Linked DNA regions of Kluyveromyces lactis. The protein of the gene in region 5 interacts with the protein of the main gene of each other region in a pairwise test. Links are inferred from orthologs where the notes say so. Each region holds a gene or a part of one and is shown on either strand. Other genes may lie near its edges.

Evidence for each region.
Region 1: the proteins of SPB1 (region 5) and RPF1 interact in binary tests that used the Saccharomyces cerevisiae proteins (3 or more experiments, as listed by UniProt). The link is inferred for Kluyveromyces lactis from reciprocal best matches to the Saccharomyces cerevisiae genes SPB1 and RPF1.
Region 2: the proteins of SPB1 (region 5) and FPR3 interact in binary tests that used the Saccharomyces cerevisiae proteins (3 or more experiments, as listed by UniProt). The link is inferred for Kluyveromyces lactis from reciprocal best matches to the Saccharomyces cerevisiae genes SPB1 and FPR3.
Region 3: the proteins of SPB1 (region 5) and RRP14 interact in binary tests that used the Saccharomyces cerevisiae proteins (3 or more experiments, as listed by UniProt). The link is inferred for Kluyveromyces lactis from reciprocal best matches to the Saccharomyces cerevisiae genes SPB1 and RRP14.
Region 4: the proteins of SPB1 (region 5) and NOP53 interact in binary tests that used the Saccharomyces cerevisiae proteins (3 or more experiments, as listed by UniProt). The link is inferred for Kluyveromyces lactis from reciprocal best matches to the Saccharomyces cerevisiae genes SPB1 and NOP53.

What each region holds. Positions count from the first base shown.
Region 1 is NC_006042.1:2,012,226-2,014,809, forward strand, and holds RPF1 (rRNA-binding ribosome biosynthesis protein RPF1), read right to left. Parts: upstream 1,391-2,584; coding exon 512-1,390; downstream 1-511. Other genes in the region: KLLA0_F21692g (pleiotropic drug resistance family ABC transporter), read right to left, coding at 1,927-2,584. UniProt on the Saccharomyces cerevisiae protein: Essential protein. Required for biogenesis of the 60S ribosomal subunit.
Region 2 is NC_006038.1:421,072-424,044, reverse strand, and holds FPR3 (peptidylprolyl isomerase FPR3), read left to right. Parts: upstream 1-1,214; coding exon 1,215-2,471; downstream 2,472-2,973. Other genes in the region: RPL6A (60S ribosomal protein eL6), read left to right, coding at 121-639. UniProt on the Saccharomyces cerevisiae protein: Proline isomerase that belongs to an abundant class of enzymes that catalyze the cis-trans isomerization of X-Pro peptide bonds and can accelerate the refolding of proline-containing polypeptides. Specifically binds nuclear localization sequences.
Region 3 is NC_006042.1:2,415,756-2,418,830, reverse strand, and holds RRP14 (ribosome biosynthesis protein RRP14), read left to right. Parts: upstream 1-1,222; coding exon 1,223-2,566; downstream 2,567-3,075. Other genes in the region: TEF4 (translation elongation factor EF1B gamma), read right to left, coding at 209-587; SOV1 (Sov1p), read left to right, coding at 2,956-3,075. UniProt on the Saccharomyces cerevisiae protein: Involved in ribosome biogenesis and cell polarity. Required for the synthesis of both 40S and 60S ribosomal subunits and may also play some direct role in correct positioning of the mitotic spindle during mitosis.
Region 4 is NC_006042.1:1,055,260-1,058,433, reverse strand, and holds NOP53 (Nop53p), read left to right. Parts: upstream 1-1,330; coding exon 1,331-2,665; downstream 2,666-3,174. Other genes in the region: HPR1 (Hpr1p), read left to right, coding at 1-907; ATP-binding cassette long-chain fatty acid transporter PXA1, read right to left, coding at 2,906-3,174. UniProt on the Saccharomyces cerevisiae protein: Late-acting factor in the nuclear maturation of 60S ribosomal subunits, which is required for normal acquisition of export competence. Required for the export of the large subunit.
Region 5 is NC_006039.1:51,873-56,004, reverse strand, and holds SPB1 (27S pre-rRNA (guanosine2922-2'-O)-methyltransferase), read right to left. Parts: upstream 2,818-4,132; coding exon 316-2,817; downstream 1-315. Other genes in the region: PBN1 (Pbn1p), read left to right, coding at 1-227; KLLA0_C00715g (uncharacterized protein), read left to right, coding at 3,818-4,132. UniProt on the Saccharomyces cerevisiae protein: Required for proper assembly of pre-ribosomal particles during the biogenesis of the 60S ribosomal subunit. Specifically methylates the guanosine in position 2922 of the 25S rRNA at the stage of 27S pre-rRNA maturation.

The DNA.
Region 1 (2,584 bases), on a different chromosome or scaffold from region 5:
CCAGAATCAACGTTAAGATGCTGAAAACAAAAGAGAGGTAATAGCAACAGTGTACAAAAAAAAGAGTAAAGTGGCTTAGTGTTTTTACTGTCAGTGTTTACTTTCCCAGTGATCGATCGTGTTAATAATTCCTTTCCAATAAAACAACAATAACAAACAGCCTGAAAAAATACTTTTTCTTAGATTGCAATCGATCAAATATAATGACCAAGAATATGACAATCCTAAAGAGCAATTAGTGTACCACCTCTTCAGATCAACAGAGTAACCGTTTGTTTCAATTAATCTTTTCAACAGTGGGCTTGTACTCATTTAAGCCCAAAACATTCCAAATCCTTTAAAGGTTTCAATGCCCTGTTTTCTTTAAAGCCAAGGAATTTCTCATTTTGCCACCACTTTTCGTCAGCCTCGTGAGTAGTGATGATAATACCGTCAAATCTTTGATAAATCTCCAAGTGCAGGACTAGTACACAGGTGGCTTTGAATTTGTATATAAATATATGCAAATATATCATAGATTGAACTTCTTCTTTTCTTTGTCCATTGAAGGTTTGTGTTCCCATTCTGTTTCCTCTTTGATACCTCTTTGTAGTCTTTTGAGTTTCATAGTAAATTGGGGCCCAAGTTCTTGAAGACCTACTTTCTCTTCGTTCCTGAAAACGTAACGGTGTCTGCGGAAGAAGATGTAATCTCTTTGATTATGCAGCGTTATCACTTGTCTACCTTCGAAATCAGGGTTCTTAGGGAAAATAGATTGGAATAGTTTACCCACAGTTTTACCAAGTCTGGTGTTGAAATTGTTCAAGATTAACTCTGGAATATGGCTAGTTGGTCTACCATGGCCCACGATCTTTTCGACTTCGACGAAAGAACTTATTTTGAAATAAAAGGTTGGCCCCTCTGGAAGATGAATAAATGTAAGCCCCGTTACTTTCTTCTTATCTTCATTTATTATCACGATATCTGTATAGTTCCTGTTATTACAGAATTCAGAGATTTCCTTCAGCTTGTATCCAAATTTCCTCTTCACGAAAGTCACATTAGGGAAAACTTCGATCAGGATATTAGCGAACTCATATGCCTTCTTTTTGGCGTTTACATTAGTTGTTAATAGAATCTTTGGTGGTTCGGTACCGTTGAAAAATTTCATAAAATCATCCATTTCACCTTCGACTTCTTGACCCATCGTTTCATCGTAAACTCTGAGGTTATCAATTGTGTCAGGAACATTTTCAGCAAGTCTTTTTTCCTTCAATTCCGGATTCTCACGTTCTTCCTTGGCTCTGGTCCTCCTCATAGAATGACGCTCCTTATTGTGCTGATCCTTCAACTCAGCAAAGAGTTTTTGCCTCTTCTGCTTGTTTTTTATTCTGAGTTCATCCACTGCCATTTTGAAATTATAGTATCGTCCGATTTGCTGTTATGCACCCTCGCTATTTGACCTAGAATAAGCTACATAACTAGCTATGTTCCACTATATTCAACTTCTATCTTGTTAGCCTCATCTCATCTCATCTCATCTCATCTGATCAATACAAAAACTTTCAAAATTTTGGAAAGCTAATTTTCGATAAAAAGAAAAGAGTTCACATTCGTCGCTGCAATCATTGTAGGAAGGGTGAGCTGACGAATATCCCATCAAAGGATCTTGATTACCTCAACGACCATCCACAACAGAGATCCATGCTAAAATTGAATAATTTTCGTACTTGCAATCGAGTTATATTGGGACTTTATATGCAATCGAAGTTTCTTTTTTTGGTTTCCATAGTAATATATGGGGAAACCAGATATCAATTCAGGTCTATATATACAGAATAAACAAAATATTAAAGCAGAACGCAAGCCCACGATAAGAAATGAAGTTTAATAGTTAAAAAAAAACAGAAGTAAACGACGTAAAAATTGGCCAAAAAGCAAAAATCCTTAAACTTGTTCATTGGATTGAGGTTCAACCTTTTCCTTTTGAACATTTTCAATTTTCTTGCCATGATCTGGGTCTCTCTCATCAGCCACTCTGTTCTTCTTCTTTGGAACTCTAGCCAACCAGTATAGGAAAACACAACCGCACCAGTTGAACACAATGAAGACTATGAAAATACCGAAATTTCTCCATCTTCTATGGTACGAAGATTGGAAACTTGTCAAAAATGCGTTTGTTTCAGAAATCTTACAGAAATTACAATCTTCCGTAGCATTTGAATCTAGTAGATAACCACCATTCTTGTCAATATAGTCCGCCATGTACTCACCACAGGTTTCTCCACTCCTTGGATTAAAGCTGACGTATTCATAGTTTGCGCATGTTACAGGGTTGTTTGCAAGACCAGTTGAGAGTACACCATCAATAAAGTAAGTTAGCGGTGAAATACGGTACATGAAAATCCAGAACCCTGGCAAAACACCAGAACCACCAAACACACCACAGAAATTCAAGGACATAGTGAACATTAATGATGCCATATTACCTGCAGCCTCAGCATACTGAAGACCTGCAATACACAATTGACCCATTGAACTGATAAATACGTAGAAGGAAACAGAGAATAACCAGAATAACACACCTCTTTCGTTTAATTGACCG
Region 2 (2,973 bases), on a different chromosome or scaffold from region 5:
CTCATGTGAGATAATGGAATTGAAACTGTGGGTTTCCTTCTCTATACACGGGCATAACTCGATAAAATATTGTTTTCAGTTTTACTAACAACGAATTTTTCAATTCAATTTTCAATACAGGCTCAAAAGTGGTATCCAGCTGAAGAAGTCCCAGCTCCAAAGCAAACCAGAAAGGCCGCTAGACCACAAAAGTTGCGTGCCTCCTTGGTCCCAGGTACCGTCTTGATTTTGTTGGCTGGTCGTTTCAGAGGTAAGAGAGTTGTCTACTTGAAGCACTTGGAAGACAACACCTTGTTGGTTTCCGGTCCATTCAAGGTTAACGGTGTTCCATTGAGAAGAGTCAACGCTCGTTACGTCATTGCTACCTCTACCAGAGTCTCCTTGGAAGGTGTTAACACTGAAAAGTTCAACGTCGCTTACTTCTCCAGAGAAAAGTTGTCAAGAAAGCAAAGAGCTGAAGCCAACTTCTTCAACGAAGACCAACCAAAGAAGGAAATCAAGGCTGAAAGAATCGAAGACCAAAAGAACATCGATAAGGCTTTGTTGGCTGAAATCAAGAAGACCCCATTGTTGAAGCAATACTTGGCTGCTACTTTCTCTTTGAAGAACGGTGACAGACCTCACTTGTTGAAATTCTAAGAAAGCGAAAAACAATTCAAAACTTTAAGCTACTTTGTTATATAATATTAACATAACTTTTATATCTTAAGGGTGTATTAAATCCCTTTCTAGTGTTTGCAACGTCGTCATCCCCACAACCTTATTCTATAAGGACAATTGATTGTAACAATTGGTTTGAACTACTTTTGCCTAAGAGTCTCTGCTATATATTCATGACTGTTTTGCAGACACACCAGTTAACACTATAACCAACGTGTGTACCCTGTCTGACGACCCTTTCGAACGATGTATTTCAATATGTCTTGTACCCTAAGCGGAGGTCGATAAAACTCATCACGTGCAGAAAAGAAACGTCGAATCTTCTCTACATAAAGTTCGTTTCTTTTGGAAAATTTTCAGAATTTGGAATAGTTAAGGTTGTGAAAGAAATAAGAGATGGACGCCATATAAGAGAGATGAGATGAGATGAATTACATTAGGTAGAGTCTTCTTGAGTGGAAGAACCTTTTTCATAGAGGTTTAGTTCGTATATTTTTTTGTAGACATATACCCACAGATTAAGAAAACTCTCATTCTAACTGAATAGCATAACAATGTCTGACCTATTACCTTTAGCTGCTTACAATTTGAACATCGAGCCATACACTCCAACCCCGGCCATTGATGTTACCACGCCTGTTACCGTGCGTATCACCATGGCTGCTATCGATCCAGAAGCTTTGGATGATGAGAAGAACCCATCTACTTTGAGAATTATCAAGAGAAACCCAGACTACGACGATGAAGATGATGCTGGTGGTTTGTTGGGTGATTACGACGAAGATGAATTAGACATTTCCGAAGAGGAAGAAGAAGAGGAGGAAAAGTCAAAGTCTAAGAAGGGTAAGGGTAAGGGTAAGTCCAAGAAGCAAGAAGAGGAAGAGGAAGAGGAAGAGGAAGATGAAGATGAAGGCGATGAAGAACTTATCGAAATTGACACCGATGACGAATTCCAAGAATTCGTCCTAGCGACTTTGTCACCAAAGACTCAATATCAACAATCTTTGGATATTGTAATTGCTCCAGAAGAAGAAGTTCAATTCATTGTTACTGGTTCTTACCGTGTTTCTCTAACCGGTAACTATGTCAAGCACCCATTCGATGCACCAGGTTACGATGACGAAGATGACGATGAAGAAGACGATGAAAGCTACGATGAAGATGAAGACGACTATCTAACCCCGGATGAAGAAGCTGATCTGGAAGAGTTAGAAGATGCTAGCGACGTTGAAGCTAAGATCCAAGAGCTTGTCGAAAAAGAACAATCTAAGTCTAAGAAGAACAACAAGAGAAAGCAACCAGAACCAGAAGAGGAAGAGGAAGAGGAAGAGGAAGAGGAAGAGGAACAAAAGCTAGTTGAAGAAACTAAAAAGAACAAGAAGGCTAAGAAAGAAAAGAAGGTTGAATTCAAGAAAGACCTAGAAGAAGGACCAACCAAGAAAGAAGAAAAGAAGGAAGAAAAGAAAGAAAAGCCAAAGACCAAGGTGCTTGAAGGTGGTATCATCATCGAAGACCGTGTCACTGGTAAGGGTAAGGCTTGCAAGAAGGGCTCCAAGGTCGGTATGAGATACATTGGTAAGCTAAAGAATGGTAAGGTCTTTGACAAGAACACCAGCGGTAAACCATTCGTTTTCAACTTGGGCCGTGGTGAAGTCATCAAAGGTTGGGATATCGGTGTTGCCGGTATGGCCGTCGGTGGTGAACGTAGAATCGTCATCCCTGCTCCATATGCGTACGGTAAACAAGCTCTTCCAGGTATTCCAGCTAACTCCGAATTGACTTTCGACGTTAAGTTGGTCTCTTTGAAATAAATGGAAAAGGATATATAATCGGCATACATATTACTCCTTCATAAATACTTACTTTAAATCAAAAAAATAACATTCTGAAAGGTGACAGTTGACGTTCCCAATGGAGAAAATGCTCTCACTCACAAATTTCTTGGTTTTGATATCTTAGATAGGCTTACTTCTCATTTTTTATAAAATCTCAACGAACTTGAAACTAAACTAGCCCTAAAACAAACCACATTTTAAGGAGAAGGAAAGGACGAAGACACCAGAAGTTGGTCAAACAACAATAATTTACGGACATTCTGATTTACATCCTTATTGACTGCAACCTGTTAAGGCGATTAGTGAACTGAAGGTTAATTGAAAGAGACTATAACTACCGTTTTGCGTGCAATTTGTAATAATTCTATTCTGAAACAGGAAATTTTTGTGAGCTAGCCGCTGAAGATTAAAACAGCAAACAAAAACAATAAAGGAAGGGAACAAAAAACCCGCTCCAATTGTGCACATAGTTAATCTC
Region 3 (3,075 bases), on a different chromosome or scaffold from region 5:
TATACATTTTCGACACGTGAGTGTTACCATGTTTTATTAAACTTTTTACCCATTCAGACAGGGATAACTGTATAATTGAAAGGTTCTCATCATTATCAGAAGATAAAAAATTAAATTCATCCAAGGCTTCAATTGAGTAGAACAGAAGGGACGGGGAAAACCTCAATATATTCAATTGAAATAAAATGTGAAAAAATCTCACACATACTGTAATAAGCAATAGCAATTAATTCGTGCAACTTGAAACCGTCTTCGCCAATGAAAGCTGGTGTCTTATGCAATGGGAAGTTGCTGGTGAATTCCTTATTTTCAGCAGCAGTAACATCAACAACGTTGACGTCTACCTTGAAGTACTTAGCCAAAGCTTTAGCCAAGATACTTCTTGGGGAAGGAGGCAGAACAAATAAAGTGCTTTGAGCCATTATGAAATGATATCCAACAAAAAGATGCTTCTGTATGGACGTCCTTATGACCTGAACTGAATATTGAAAATCAAACTTGAACACACACTGCACAAACAAATAATTGTGTTCTGAATCGAAGTAACAAGAATGGAAAAAATTTACTATTAATCGTACCCATAACATATTTATACAAAGTAAATGTGAGAAGTTTTGAAAAAAAAAACTGAAGAAAAAAAAAAACTTGGAAAAACATAAAAATTTTGAATAGTCATTTTTCCTTATACGGGCTATTTTAACTGTAGTGATCAAGTAAGTAATTGAAAGGCCTTTAGAGCTTCTTCTTTTCACGTAGCGGCTGGAACAAAAAGAAATTTGTTTTGGATTTTCAATTTTTGGCTTCGAGAGATGAGCCGTGGGTAATGATTGGGGGCAAGTATCATTGGCTATGAGGGCATTGTCAAATGGCTAGAAGAATGATGGTGTACATGTGGCAACAATAAAATGGTTGAAGTCTGTTACTGTACAGTACTTCTGTACATTGTATATACAGAAGTCATCTTCCGCTCGTTTTGACTAAGGTCACGTGACTTATTTAAAGTGTATTCTTTTTTTTTTGTAATTTTCCCTGTAGAAAAGAAACCTCAAAGATTCACCATACGTGATATTCTCAAAACCGTATATAGAAAATTTTCAGCTCATCGCACCGGACAGGTACAGAGACTTAACTTGTTCTTACAGCAATGTACTTATCAGTACTAAGATTCGTTTAGTAAGAAGGATATTATTTACACAGCTCAGTTGTACCAATCCACCCTGACATGAGCAATTCTCTTGAAGAACGGTTGAAATCGAATTCTAGCGCCTTTGAAGGGCTACTTTCGTTGATACCTGCGAAATATTACTACGATGACAAGACACAGGAACAATGGAATGCCAAGAAGAAGAGCAAAGGGCAATTGAAGGAGGATAAGAAATCGAAATTGGATCCTGAGCAGCAGGACGATGAATCCAGCTCTGCCCTCGAAGTTATGAAGAAGAAACAAGCTCAGGCGAAAGCTGTGGTTTTACCAGGCCAAAAGAAGATCCAACGTGAACTACTAGACGCAGAGTCTGAAACATCGTCCGAAGATGATGAAGACGAAGAGGACGAAGAAGAGGACGAGGAGGAGCAAACCGAGGAACAAGAATCTGACGAAGTACCGGAAATAAACATTTCTCAAACTTTGGGCGAATCTGAGAGTATAGCGGTGATCTTTGATGATGATGGAAACCCAGTAGATCAGAACAAACAGAAGCAAGAGAAAGAGCGTATACAGAAAAAACAGGAGGCCATCGAACGTACCAAAGATGACTCTTCTCAGAAGAAGAAGAAGATGGAAGAATTACGCTGTAAACTACAGGAGAAAATCAAAGCTTTAAAGGAGAAAAGAAAAGCCCCAGGAACCAAGGTGGAAGGTGCGCCAAGTTCAAGAGAAGCTATTCTTGCTCAAAGAAAACGTAGACAAGAGGCAAGGGCCACCAAGTTAGATTCTGAAAAAGCTGGTGATGTGTCTTCTGATGATAGCGCAGATTCTGATTCGGACTCGGATGCAGAAGATGCTCACGTTTCCAAGAAACATCGTCGCAATGGTGATGAAGAGATTTCAGCCAAAGATGTTATGTTCCAAAGTATTCAATTCAATGACGGTACAAAGGCTACATCTGATTTATCGCATGTAAGAAAGGGTGAAAGAAAAAAGGGACCTGCCAAAAAGGACGTTAAAGCTCATTTAAGACTGCTAGAGACAAAGAAACAATCATTAGAATCAAGAGATGAATTGGATCAAATTAAACTGAAAGAGAAGGAAAAATGGCAAAAAGCCATGTTGCAAGCAGAAGGTATCAGGCTTAAAGATGATGAGAAACTACTTCGCAAAGCTTTGAAGCGTAAAGAGGCTAAGAAGCGTAAGTCGACCGTCGAATGGCGTGAACGTAAACAAGTGGTAGAAAACACTGTTGCCGAAAGACAGAAGAGAAGAGAGGAAAATCTACAGATTAGAAAGGACAATAAAGGTAAGAAGAAGAGCAAACAACAGAAGATGAAGAGAAAATTCAAGGGAACTGCCCATTTGAAGAAAAGAGCAGGATTTGAAGGACGTATGAAAAGTGTCAAGAAGAAATGAGCCTTAATCAACTAATATTCTCCATCCAACAAATAAAAGCATAATATCATATTTCATCCTTTCAAGTTATAGATTAACCTTTTACTTTTACTTTTGCATCTCTATTTTTATATACTGACACCCAATGATATATAAAAATAAATATAATCAAACCCAGAATGTAATAATGCATAAAATCTCTATTACCATGTAGTCTTTAATAATGGATTTCAGAAGCCAATGTGCGGTTATTTCTTTTCATTCATTTTAAACTGCGTTCGAAAAATCATGAAAATGGTTCAGACGCAATAGTATAGATGAAATAAGGTATCTCGATGAGATGAGGTTGAAGAGGTTCACTCCAGCGAAACAAGGCAACGTTGCAGAAGAGAAAGATTCTATATTGCATAATGCTGAATGTGATAACCTGTCGAAGTCGATTAAGTTTACTCGTTACACCAAGACAACTTCGATATATACGAACCAAAAGTTTATCAAATACTATCTCCACTATAAAGAAAAATGCTGAT
Region 4 (3,174 bases), on a different chromosome or scaffold from region 5:
TTATGAAATTAGGGATCGTCAATTTTATGAATTGTTGAATCATCTAGCTCAGAATGAATTGGATGCACTCAATCAAAAAGTCGGTGATTTCTCAAATTTGAAAGACATTCATTGGTCCTCTGATTTGATTACCGTACCAACAGCTAATAATGCATTCAAGAAATTCGGATGGATTAAACTCGGCAATAAGAAATTAGACGGTCTATGGAAAGTGCAATCAGGCTTAGATTTAGCGAGAAAGTATTCAGAAAACAATAGACAAGATCCCTCAGAACTATATGACACTATAATATCCGAATACAAGGATAAAACTGAAAAAACTGATGGTGATGAAACCACTACTGATAATGTCATAGTAAAACAATGGCAGAATCTAAGATCTTTGAGGCCGAAATACTTGTTTGAGTTTAATAAGGTCAGCGAAAAAACTACTCTGGCGGGGTTCGCCAATGAAGAACTCATTAGGAATGATATCGAATCTAAGAAAAGACGGCTAGCCGAAAGAATAGAGTCAAAAAAGAAGAAACATTCCGAACAAGTCGCCGAGGCTGAACAGTTTTTCAAAGACAAGGAACAAGAAAGGAAAGATCTACTTCAAGCGAAGATAAAAAGTCAAAGAGAAACTCTGGAAAATGGAAAAAATGATAAAACAACTTCGCCTGATGATCAAGATAATGATTCACTAAAGAGAAGACACGATAGTCCAGAGGCTGACGGGAATGAAGAAGAACAAGCTGTTTCGAAGAAACAAAAACTTGAGGAAGAAGTTGAAGAACCAGATGCTGACGCTGAGGCTCAAAAGGAAAAAGCGCTTGAATCTGAACCAACAGAGCTTAAAACAATAGAAAGTACAGAAACAGAAGTAGAGGTGCCGAAAGAACATGAAGGAAGCTCCCACACGGAGTAGGCTAACAATACAGTAATATTTTTTCAGACATCCGTTCAAATATATAGCATATAATTCGATTGAAGAATCATTTATTTTATCAATTACAGATGTTACTTATCAATATCACACGATTCTAGACTATTCCTCTCCTAATTGACATTCGACAGCTATCTCCTTGTCTATTATGAATCGATATCCTTTACTTTGCTTCGAAAGTGAATGTTACCCGGAGAATAATCATATTTCTTTTTTTTTATGTCAATTTTTCATTTAGACAATCCGATGCCAATAAGATGAAAAAAAAAAAAAGAGATGAGATGCGATGCGATGAGATGAATTCAAGTACACAATTAATACTCGGGGACTGGCGTATCGTTTTACTAATCCTTACCATACTATTCAGGACAATCCACCTCAAACAAACAGACAAAATAGTTAGTTATGGCGGGATCTAAGGACAGACCAGCTCAGTACAAACAATCTTCTCGTAAAGGTAAGAAGGCATGGAGAAAGAATATTGATATAAGCGATGTGGAACGCAAGCTCGAAGAGAAGCAGATCCTTGAGACTACTCATGGTAAGCAGAATTTGACAGAACTTAGCGATGATGCGCTTTTTGCGGTTGATACTGAGGGTGACCAAGTTTTAAAGCAGAAATTAGTGAAGAGGAAAGCAATCAAGAAAACTCTGAAGTCAACCGAGATTTTGGAGTCTATCAAGTCTAAATCCAAAGTGCCTGCTCTAACCAACCCAAAGACTGCTAACAAGAAACATGATAAGATCCAAGGGGTATCAAAGAAAGAACTGGACAGATTACTTGCTTTAGCTGGTAAAAAAATTGGTGAAAGTAAGTTGAAAGCAAGAGTTGCAAAAGAAGGTCTTGTGAAGTCAGGATCCCTTGATTTATGGGGCGAAGATGCTGGTAAGGAGGTTAAAGTACCATCTGGACTGAAGCTTAAGATAGCACCAGAAGAAGTAGAGAAACTTCCAAATGGATTCTTAAAACAGTCTACAACTAGTTGGTCCGTCGCAACTGTTAAGCCGGATTCCATTGCTCGCGTGCCAGAAATTGTCAAAGAAAGAGATGTCATTCCACATGCAGGAAAGTCATATAATCCAAGCAAAGAAGAATGGGAGGCTCTTATAAGTACTGAATATGAGGGTGAGCTGATAAATGAACAGCGCAGGATAGCTTTAGAACAATATAAACAACGAATTCAACACTTGATGGATACTATTGAAGATAAGGAGGAAGAGGACTCCGATTCAGAAGAAGAAAATGAATCAGAACTTGATGATAAAGACCTTTCAGAAGAGGGAGAAGAGACTAAGTTGTCTCTGAATCCAGCAACTAAGAATAAAAAGAAAACGAAATATCAGAGAAATAAACAAAGAAGACACGAAGAAAAAGTCAAACTTCAGCAAGAATTAAAGAAATTGAAGGAAAAGGTTCTCAAACTTGAAAAATTAGAGGAAATTCAGCAGGAAGTGGAATCCACCGTCCCAAATCCGGTCTCTACAGCCGGAAAAGTTAAAAAGAACAAGAAGCATAAGCTTGGTACTAAACATTCCGTCATGGAAGACAATTTAGAGGTGAAATTCTCAGATGAACTATCAGATTCATTAAGAAAATTAAGACCAGAAGGTAATCTGCTATATGACACTGTGAGAGCATTACAAAGTTCTGGTAGGGTAGAATCTCGTATCCCTATTAGAAAAGGTAGAAGATATAAACCAAGAGTCACTGAGAAATGGACTTACAAGGACTTCAAATAGATTAATTTGCTCTTTTCTTTCTATACATCATTCCGTACCATTTGTACAATAAAATACACAGACGTACCTGTGCTTTTCTTGCATAATTTATATAGAGCAAAATATTAATAGATTCATTAACTCTGTGATTATATTATATAATAGTAATGAATACAATATCCGACACTTTTACTACTGATTGAACTACACACCAAGAATAGTTCATTTGACTTGGCAGATTTAAATTTTCAAACCAATTTTTCACACCAATGTCAACTTTGCCTGTAGTTCATCTCTCTGCCTTTCCCATTCTTTTACCTTTGTTAGCTTTTGGTTTAGGGTTTCAATCTCATTTTCGATTGATAAAATAGCTTCGTCTGACCCTAATGCCTGTAGGCTCCAATCAGTTCCGTTAGTCAATTCCAATAGGTAGTCATGGTATTTTATCAAAGACGGGCGTTGAGAGATGGATATGAAGTTGAATCTGTATCTCTTCAACATGGTAAAAAGATGATCTTCCATATCAACAC
Region 5 (4,132 bases):
ATGCCTGTGATACTTCCATTGAACTTACGAAACGGTCACCCTTCTATACTGGAAAAATCGGATATGAACACTTTTTCACTGACAACACCAAATTTTACTATCTAAATTCTACTAAAATGACAATTAACCTTCCGAAACTAGACTCATCTGATAACTTATGTATTCAGCTGTTTACCTTGGGATTGGTGCTCTTTTCTGTTTTGTATTTGATCAGAAAACTTTTTTGAAGTAGGTTGATCTTATTCAATATTCTATCTACGACTAAATATAATGTACAATTCCATTTCACGGATTAAGTGATATGATTAGCATTCCTTATTTTTTGTGATGCTTTTTAGCGATACGTTTCAAAGCCCTTTGTTCGTTCTTTAAAACACCGTCAACCATCTTATATTTACCCTTAACACCCTTAGGCCTGCCGGAAAGACCTCTATTCTTACCACTTGCAACCACAACTGTGACCTTCGGTTTTTGCTTTGCTTTCTTGGTAACCTTTCTCATCAATTTTGCAATTTCTTCAGCCTTGTCCTTTTCAGATTTATCGCTGTCATCATTAATTAGACCAGCCTTCTTCTTCAACTTTTCTAAACGAGCAACAGCACGGTGCTTCTTCCTGGCTTTAGCTTCAGCAACTTTTTTGATGGGTCTGGCATTTAGAGCCTTCAGTTTATCCTTTATTGCCATGGCTGCTTCTTTGGTGATAGGCTTATTAATTTTGGAATGTTGTTTTTCTTCTTCAACGAACCATTCGGGCAGGTTTTCCATATCACGGAAAGAATATCTATTGAAACCCTCTTCGATTAAATCATGTTTCGTTTTGTGACCTAATGCCAATTGATGAGCTAGAGTCATAGCTTCAACGGTCGCAATATCAATGTCTTTGGAATGTTTCTCTTGTTTTGTCCTCTTTGCCTCTTCTTCGGAATCATACTCAGAGTCTACATCGCCATCTTCGTTGTTTGCGACGATTTCGAAATCACTATCTTCGTCGGAAGATTCGGCTTCAGAAATCTGCTCTGCAGGAAGTGGATTCAATTTTCTTTTCTTTGTTAGTTGTTTGACATCACCCACAGACTCTGAATCCGCAAGATCCGCCTTACCAGGTAAATCTGGTTCAACTCCCTCGAATAAAGAATCGGAAAATAGCGCGCGAGCTTTAGAACTTAACTTGCTGCTGTTTTCTCTACTTTTCAATTTTGCTATCAACTGATTGATAGCTTCATCATCGTCAGAGTCTGAAAGATCCGAGTTGTCATCGTCGTCAACATAATCCTTAGTTTCTTCTTCGTTCTCTTCATCACTTTGTTTGTCCTCGAATCCATTCCAGTTGTCCGCTTCACTGGATTCACGGGCTTGCTTAGCTCTAAACTTTGCATCTCTTTCTGACTTGCGTTCCTTATAGTTACTGTACATGGCATCAAGTTGGGATTCTAGTTCATCAGCCTCAGCGAGCTCATCACGATCATCCAGAGGCGCATTTTCATCAATGTGGATATCGTTATCTATGGCTAATTCATTTTGATCAAATATCATTCTTCTCTTACCCTTGGCAAGTTTATCAAGGATACCCGTTTTTTCTGCAGTTTTCAAATTGAAAATTGATTCTCTACCTAACTCTGCAGCTTCGATACCAATGTCTACTGGATTGATCATATTTAATTGCATACGAACAATTTCCTTCTGTTTCATTTCGTTCTTCTTTCTCTTCTCACGCTTAACAGACAACCTTTGTTTCTCCTGTAGAGTATTTAGTTCTTTTTCAATCTGCTCTTCTTCTGTCAAAGGTGTTTCCTCAATCTCTGGTTTTTCTTCCTCTTCATCCAAGCCTAAAAGTTCTCTAGCTGCTTTTCTCCATTTTAGGATCATCTTGAAATCTTTTCTACCAAGAACCTTTAAATCTTCGATACATGCCAAGAATTCTTTGGTGGTTTGCTTTAATTTCTTCACAATTTTCCAGTCATGATCTTCTTCGTCTACGATGAATTTATTATATTCTCCAAGCATAGTTATTGGGTCTTCTGATTTCATAAAGTCCATAAGACCAGTTTCATGGTATAACAAATAATCACCTTCCTCGTAACCACCTCTTTTTCTGACCTTTTTTTCTGGATTAAAAACCTTGGCTTCCATGTTTTGTGGACCATCTGGTAATTCTTCAAAGACTTCCTTTGGGTCTAATAGCCTTGGATCCAACTTCTTAGGGGCCTTGAAATTTTTGCAGACAACGAAAATTTCCGCAGAAACATTTCTGGAAGCAGGAGGTTTGGTTGCCTCCACCTTTTCGAAGAGCTGTTGAAATACCCAAATTAGCTTGTTGTAATCTTTGGATCTGAAGATCTTCGTTACAAATGTACCACCAACTACTAAATTTTCAACGGCTAATTTTAAGGCTTGCAGTGTTAAATGAGACTGTGTGAAGGCATCTTGAGCCCAACTCAAACCAACATTTGGAGCACCATCGTGTAAAACGGTGTCGGCTTTCCACGTCTTCATGTACCCTCTTAATTTCGATCTACAATCTTCCGTTGTGATATCACTTTGGAAAGTAATAACGTTTGGCATAGTTTTCATCGGAACAATATCGACACCAATAATCAAGGAGTTAACAGGACACAAGTTGGAAGCCACTTGACACCAGGAACCTGGTGCAGCACATAAATCGATAACGACCTTCGACTTCTCCAAAAAATGTCCATACTTTTCATTGATTTGAATGATTTTGAAGGAAGAACGAGCTCTGTAGCCCTTTTCCTTAGCAAGGTAATAGTACTTATCTAAACGACCTTTGGAATTCTTCTTTTGCGTCTTCTTACCCATCTTGGTCTTCTCGGTAATGTATGGTGACCTATTCACTCAAGTCTAAAAGAGAACAGGATATCAGAAAGCAAATAAACAACAGTTGTAACCTGTTCAACGTTCAACTAATCTCTTCTCATCTCATCTCATCTCATCTCATCGCTAGACCAATTTCTCAAATAAAAAATTGTCACTCTTCTCACAAATAATGAAAAATTATCTGAAAAAGAAATAATTTTGGATGCGGTGTTCGGGTTAAGAATGCTCGCGGTACCAGGTATGGAAACACCGGACACTGTACTGGAGGAACTGCCAGCTTTGATGCTATGCACGGTTTCCACTGTTAAAATAACGAGCAGTAAAAAATCTGTTTGGACGTGTTATCATGGATATTGATATTACTGTAACAACACAAGACTTATATAGAGGGCCCTTAGCGTTCCACAGTTTTAAATAAGGAATATGATTTCGGTTTTTTTTCAACCATTAGCACTGCCAACGTTTACAAATAATTATGCAACGCTCTCAGGCTATAAGGGTACCGATGCTTATAATATTTCTGCAAGATTATAGGTATGGGTAGTTACTACTATTGCTACTGCTGATCATACCATAGGCTAAATAAATTTATGACCGCCTCTCGAAATAGAGATGCATTCTATGGCCCTCTCGGTCCATTGGCAGTAACTGCAATCTTATATCCAATTATCACACAACATAATGGTTCCCGCTTATACGTAGGTGTATATATAGCCTAATTCATCCGGGTTCAGTATCACTATATTTGGCCAGAATATCTGCGTATTGTACATTCCAGCCAGTAGAACGATACACGTTACAGACAGAGAAAAAAGGAAGAAGAAAAGCATTCCAAAATAAAACTGCAAAAATCAAAAATCCTTTCAAGTACTTACTTACTTGATTAATTTATGGTTGTATGAGATACTTGTACATAAAGTATTGTTTAATTCAATTGCGCAAGATATCAATCTAGTATCCACTGCGTTGAATACACGGGAAGATGAGTAAGTATTCATTTGAAACGATTCAGTTTAAGGAGACTCCTCCGGCGGAAACTCCTGAACCAGTGAATTCCAAATATGGCGTGAAAACGACAGCATCACCAGCTATTAAGAACGCTCCATTGCCTGCAGAGGGACCTTCTTCCAGACACTTTTCCAATTGGTTATTATTCTCCTTGCTCGGTGGTATTCCTTACTATGTAACAAGGAAAGTTGGGGGAGGTCTCAAAACCTTCTTGTTCTTTGCCGTACTGTTTGCTATCCCAATTTTAATGGCCTTTTGGACAATTGCATCCACTTACTCTCCTCGTTTG